Linked DNA regions of Xenopus tropicalis. The protein of the gene in region 2 interacts with the protein of the main gene of each other region in a pairwise test. Links are inferred from orthologs where the notes say so. Each region holds a gene or a part of one and is shown on either strand. Other genes may lie near its edges. The genes, in order: ppp2r5a and dzip1.

The links.
Region 1: the proteins of dzip1 (region 2) and ppp2r5a interact in binary tests that used the Homo sapiens proteins (3 or more experiments, as listed by UniProt). The link is inferred for Xenopus tropicalis from reciprocal best matches to the Homo sapiens genes DZIP1 and PPP2R5A.

What each region holds. Positions count from the first base shown.
Region 1 is NC_030681.2:14,617,687-14,620,948, reverse strand, and holds part of ppp2r5a (serine/threonine-protein phosphatase 2A 56 kDa regulatory subunit alpha isoform), read left to right. Parts: intron 1-38; coding exon 39-89; intron 90-374; coding exon 375-494; intron 495-1,235; coding exon 1,236-1,363; intron 1,364-3,262. UniProt on the Homo sapiens protein: The B regulatory subunit might modulate substrate selectivity and catalytic activity, and might also direct the localization of the catalytic enzyme to a particular subcellular compartment.
Region 2 is NC_030678.2:122,328,671-122,332,500, reverse strand, and holds part of dzip1 (zinc finger protein DZIP1), read right to left. Parts: intron 2,460-3,830; coding exon 2,292-2,459; intron 2,115-2,291; coding exon 2,066-2,114; intron 1,277-2,065; coding exon 1,208-1,276; intron 603-1,207; coding exon 552-602; intron 1-551. UniProt on the Homo sapiens protein: Molecular adapter that recruits protein complexes required for cilium assembly and function to the cilium basal body.

The DNA.
Region 1 (3,262 bases), on a different chromosome or scaffold from region 2:
TGTTGCTTTAATGTTCTCCCTTCTGCCTTATCTTACAGGTTATACGAGGATTACTGAAGTTCTGGCCAAAAACTTGCAGTCAGAAAGAGGTAGCTATATATAAAACTATTACTGCAACTTTAGTGTTACTATTAATACAAGGGATTTACCAGGTCCGTTATTTGGCCAAAGAAAGTACCAATAAAGTGCCCATAGCACATTACTCGAGCTAGCTGATCAAACGTGGAGCTATGCATATCCCTCTCAATATACAGCATTTCTAGCCATATTCTTCTTTTTTTTTTTTACAGTTTATTTGGGATTGTAGTTAATCTGAATTCATATAATGTACTTCATTGCTTCCCTTCTACTCTTTTTTTTTTTTTTTCCAATAGGTGATGTATTTAGGTGAAATAGAAGAAATTTTGGACGTAATTGAGCCAACACAGTTTAAAAAGATTCAGGAGCCTCTCTTTAAGCAAATATCGAAATGCGTGTCCAGTTCTCATTTTCAGGTGGGTAAAAGAGATACAATTTCCAATAAAGAAAACAATTGGTTAAAGGCCTGTACTTGAAATATTAGTCATACAGATGAACTCTTAATGGTATATTTGGAGTTGAGTGAAGCATTACCGGTGATGTGGCCCAGGGCAGCCAATCAGCAATTCAACGGTTAGAAAACCAAAGTAAAGCATCTGATTGGCTGCTATAAGCAACATCACCGGGTAATGTTTTACTCCACTTTTTACACAGCATTATAAATATACCCCTAAGGGTTCAGGGCTTTACCTCTGTAGGAAATAAAATAGAGGTACAAACCCAGCCCAATAATGGCTCTTAATTGCTGGAGGTGTAGCCTCTGCTATATTATATATATTATTATTATTATTATTATTATTAATTAAGTGTATATATTATTATTATTAATTATGTATATTATTAAGTGTGTTGGTGTTTGATCATTAGCTTGAAAGGGCTAAATAATCCTTTAGATCATGGGCTGAAGCTGTGATGCAATAAAGCTGGAGCAGCTGTGCCAGAGCTTATAGGATGTAACACTTCATTTGCAGCTCGGCTTCCTGAATCTGTATTTTGTGTCTCCCTGCCCAGAAGGATATATGTTTGACTTTTCCAGCAAAATGCTAATATTTCTATATACACTGAGTGATAGAGACAATCTGTGCATATATTGTGTAGCAGTAATCTCTCCCTTGGCAAGAAACACTTCCTTACGCTGCACTGGGGATGTTTTTCAGGTTGCAGAACGAGCCTTGTACTTCTGGAACAATGAATACATTCTCAGCCTGATTGAAGAAAACATTGACAAAATTCTACCAATCATGTTTGGTAGTTTATACAAAATCTCCAAAGAACACTGGAACCCGTACGTAAACGTTATTTTCTGATTTCATATATTTATTCCATCTAAACCCAATAATACATTTAACTTACTCCTGGATGTTTCTGTGAGTAATTTTGCATTTTACATTCATTTGATTTGAGATATTTCCATTTTTAGACCAATACCAGTGCAATAGACACTTATGGTTGCTGATACTCTCGAAAAACTGTTGAGCTGAAAGTCTGTCTAGCAGTATAAAATTGCTAATATCTCAAAAACCACTTGAAATAAATAATGAACATAAGTCACAAAGGTGCTCAAAGGACCCGTTAAAACCAGTTAATTTTATTTGGGTTACATTCCCCTTTAAAGGGCATTTCCACCCAAAAACTACTGTTAGCATTACATTTCATTATGCAACTTTTCAATATACATTAACAATCCTCATTGTTTTTTAAGGTATTTGTAAATGTAACTGCAGTTAAAGGAGAACTAACCCCTAAAAATAAATATGGATAAAAATACCATATTTTATATACTGAAATAATTTAACCAGCCTAAAGATTCAGCCTTTCTGTAGTAGTAATGATCCAGGCTTTCACAGTTGTCACATGAGCTTCCTGTCTAGGATTTTATTAGGAGTGTCAGTCACATTGCACATGCTCAGTGTGCTCTGGGCAGCTGCTGAGAAGCTGAGCTTCTCCTCATTTTAGCCAAAAGTCTTTTGTACATTTAGAGGGTGTGTGAAGAAAAATGTAAGAACAGGGTTGCCACTTGACTGGTTTTGAATACCGAGCAGGCAGTTTTCACCTGGACAATCCTTCCTATAACTGAGCTGTCCGGGTCAAAGCTGCCTCTCCAGTTTTCCAAATTAGGAAAAACCGGGCAGGAATCGATGATTGGCGAAATGCCGATCATCGCCCCTCTGACATCACCATCCCCTCCCCACCCCCTGTGTTTCACCGGCTGCCCGGAGTAAGGAGCCGGGTAAGGTGGCAAACCTACTGGGGAAGTGTGTGCAAGGTTTTTTGGCATCTCCCACTGAATCTAGTCGCTTCCTTCAGACACCAGGCCAGTGCTCTGCTCCCACCAAAAATGTAGCAGGCTGGTTACTTTTCTTCTCAGCGCCATGCTGCAAAATTTTAAAGGGCAACCCACCCATATCATATAATCAGCCCCAAATAGGGTTTTTGCTCACGATAGTCTGTCATGGTCTAAAGTGGCTTTAAGAATAGGCTTCCATAGAGGGAATTTATTCTGATAGTCCTGTCCATCCCTTTAGAGAACAACAGCTTAATGAGAGACATTATATCCGTGTTTACAGTAGAAAATACAGTTTAAGGGCTGTGACAGACGGGGAGATTAGTTGCCGCGCAACAAATCTCCCTTGTTGTGGGGGCGACTAATCTCCCCGAAATGCCTTCCCACTGGCTAGAATGTAAATCGCCGGTGGGATGGCATACGCGGCACCGCGATTTGCTGAAGTCACAGAAGTTTCCTCTCAAGGCAACTTTGGCAACTAATCTCCCCATCTGTCACAGCCCTAAGGAGTGCAATAAATGTTGTGCTGAACTTAATGTTTTTGGCCTATTGTTTTATTCAGTCAGCGGGATCTAAACAGTCCCAAAATACAAAGCCACAATTTCTGTAATGTGTCTATGAAGATTTTCATTCATCCAGGTCATGCTATATCTAGTATAAATAAATTTAAAGCAACTGGACTTGTTTGGTAGCAATGTAAACATCTTCAGTGATTACCAAACAAGTCCAGTTGCTTTAAATTTATTTATACTAGATCATTTCTGTAATGGCTACACACCAGCTTTCACGTAGCCCCACATTCAAATGACAGCTGCACACTTTTTTTTGTTTTCTTAGTGATGTGGGTTTGGTTTGCATTGTGTATACGGAGACCAGTGCTCGGTGCAAATGTTGTGAGGT
Region 2 (3,830 bases):
AAATTGGTTACCAGTGCCCAGCTAGATTCCCACAACAGCAATGGGGCAGAATTCTGGTGGTGGAATCATTTGGGTGCACTTAATAAACAAAGTCACATTCACTGGGGAATTGCAATATGTTCAGCACCACTCAGTGAATGTAATCAGCAGTTGTCTAAAGGCCTTGGAGCTTCCCTATGCCACTGAAAATCTTGTGATACACGACAATATATATAATACAACTGAAGCACAGCACTGTAAGTGGTCCAACATGCAACATCAACAACAGTATTACCATTTTAATAGCTGTTTTGTGCAGATTTTTGCCAGTTTGGGTTGGGATTCATAAGACATGCGTAAAGTGTTTGTTAAAGCCATTCAGCTAAAAAGAACTGGAATCATGCATATTGAGATCACACCTCTCCTTTAATGTTTGCATAGAAACAGCTGCAGGACTGTAAATTGCTGAATATCCTGATTAAAGGAAAGGTATGGACATCTCAAACAAACATTACACAAAAAAGTAAAATTCACAGGTCATGTAAATACATGCTTAGACTACACACTGTTACCTTTCTCCTCCTCTGTAAGCTCTTCAATAGGTTCCAATATATAGGCTCTGTCTAATAGTCAGCAAAATAAAGTATATAAACACAAATGTGTGCAGACTAATTATTATGTGTAACAAACAATTCTGAGTGGTGCACACAATAAGAGAAAAAGCTTTAATATCAAATACCTGTCAGTGCAGTGCTTATTGCAGTGTTCCTTTTGAAACATAGGACTGAATAAAGGTACCACACACAATTGGGCAGTTGGTTTATTTGGAGCCTTAGTGGAGCAGCATACAAATGTTTTAAGGGATGCACTTATTTGCACACCCAAGCAGGGCCTTTTCATGCCCCCTATAAGGCAGAAAAAAAGTTCAGGGCACTGTTGTGGCCTCTACATCCTGCTGTTAAATAATTGCATGTCTAAATGACATGCAAGTTAGAGGGCAGTAGGTGGGGCATGTGCAAGTGTTCCCAACTCCCCAATACAGCTCTGACTAACGCAGTCAAGACGGACTGTATTCGTCAGAGAAGCGGCAGCTCTCTGGGCTCTGTTTTGGCGATTCCTAAAAAGCAGAATGCAGTGCGCAAAATGCAAAAAAAGCTGACTGCACACTGTGTACTGTATCGTAAATGATTCCTAAAGAACGTTAAAAAAAACCCCAAAAAACACTTACCACTTAGTAACGATGCATTAGGTTTTATCTCAGAGTGATGTGACAGTGGTGTTGGAGCTTGTACAATTTCTAAATGAGCAAAATAATTTTAGTTAACAATATCCACAATTTTGCTATACATTTTAAACACACAGATGTAATAAATTAACATCATTTGTGCAGTTAAAACTGTGTAATTATAACTGAATACAAAATGTTATGGGGTTCTCATATCAATATATTGTTTTTACCTTACAAAATACATACTGATTAATTAGTAAAAATGGTATGCTGGTTCACCAATGACTAAGCTATAGGTGCCTTTATATGTCTCTATTAGTCCAGCCCTTCTTAGCTAACATTGAGGTAACATCAATATTTATAAAAGCAAAGTTATGCCAGACATTAACCCCTAACCTAACCTAAGGCTAATATCCCATGGAGGAATTAGTCGCCTGCGACAGATCTCATGCAGGCAACTTTGCACAACTTCAGAAAACTGAAGTGATACGTAAGGCCATTGGCGTGTCCCGTTGTTGCCAGTGGAAAGGCATTTCAGAGAGATTGGTGGACCGCTGTGGTAAAGATCTATCGCAGGCGACTATTCTTGGCGTGGAACATTAGCCTAACCTCACCTAATTTTGTCCCTTGATCAATGCTCTTATTTTACTGATTTAAAAAACAAACAAACACAACTACATACTGAAATTATTTATAAAATGGAAGTATGAGAGCATACTGCTGAAGTGGCCTGGAGAAGTTCCTAAGTATTAACTCCCTGCATCAAGGCACTGTAAAATGCCAAATAACAGCTGGAATTTTGTGCACACTGGCCATTACAACTAACTTGGACAGTAATTATATTTTTTAGTTACTTACCTGAATATGTAGCAACAGGAGGTGTCAGCTTTATAGACTGCTCCTTTACCTAAGATAAAAAAAAAACCCTGTAACAAGATACAGCAGAAAAAAATACCAAACAGTACAGAAGACTGTACTGTTTGTACAAATCTTCAAATATTTATAACATTTTCAGTATGCTTGAACATCTTGGTGCAGTTATAACTTCCAGTAGTAGAGAAGTGTAAAGGCAAACCCCACTTACTTTTCCTAAAGAGGCATTCTTCACAGCTAATTCTGTAACCTCTTTCTGAAGCTTATCCTTTACTTTAGCTATTTCTTCAGCATGTTTTTCTTTTTCTTCCTCTTTCCAGCTATTAAACTTTTTTAGCATCTCTTGTTCAAATGATTTCCGATGTCCTGTTTCGTGAAACTAAAAAAATTACATTTGTTAAAACACAACACAGAAAAGAAAGAGCTTAAACCCAAATCTTCATAACATATGTATGTAAATATGTATTGTTCATATAATTTCAAAGGTTAATATAATCAAAAATATAATTGAACTTTGCTGTAAATATGTTCATCATATGGCTGCTGAAAATCCCAATGATAAAGCATTAGTCACATTATACCACTTTTTTCACTGTTAGGTTAGTGCCACACAGGGCTGATCAGCCCCTACGCTGGCACCAGCCTCTTACATTACCTGCACCCGGAAGCATTGTATCTGCTTTGGTGCAGGCAGATGTGGTGGATATCGGCTGTGAAATGCGAACTCTTTTTTTTTCTGCTGATATACGCCACATCTGCCCGCACCAGGTCAAAGACAATGCTTCCGGGTGCCTTCAATTTTCTGCAGGTCGAGAATCAGCCCTATGTGGCACTAGCTTAACAGTAAAAAAAATGATCAGAAGCCAAACAGGAAGAAAAAAATGCTGAGCTCTGTAAAGAAAGTTCCCATAATGCCTCACTCCTGCACAGACACCCAGACCAAATGAACATGCTCAGTTAGTTAGACTATGAGTCAGCTTGCTGCTGATTGCCTCAGAACCACATTTCTAAGGGGGGAGAGTGAGTTTTTAGCATTCCTGAGGGAGGGGGAGCAGGAGAGAGCATAAAGCAGAGAGCTGCATGTCTCTGGCAGAGGAAAACAGACACAACTTATCTTTTGACAGAAAAATCAGTGCAGTGTTTCTGTGAGTGCTTATGGCTGTATTTACATAGACCTTTCTGATAAAGCTTACTTAGTTTTTACCTTTCCTTCTCCTTTAAACACAGCTTTTATATGTACAAAAATATTTAAAACAGTTTGAGGCGGCAATGTATATAGACAGGATACACCTGATGTATTCCAGACCCACCAGGTCCTTATTTATAGACCTATTAATACAACTACGTTACAACCTGGTACTAGTATTAACTAAACTAAGTAAGCTTTAACAGAAAGGTCTATGTAAATACAGCCATAAGCACTCACAGAAACGCTGCGTTGAGTCCTCTATCAAAAGAAACACATGATTTCTTGTCTCTTTTTTTGTAAACATGATGTTTGGGTGTCTGACTTTCTTTCTCAGAAAAATCCTTAATTCCCGTAGCCAGAGTCTGCACAGATCTCTCCTCTCTCCCTTCTCCTGCTTCCCTTTCCCATAAGAATGCTAAGAACTGTCTTTCTCCTCCCTTAGGAATGTGTGATCTGAGCTATAATGGCTAGACTGCAAACAGAAAGCTATTTAAAATGGCAGCTGCTGTCTTAAGCAAACGGAGAAAGCTTATAGGGCTCTTTACTCAGGTATGGCAATAC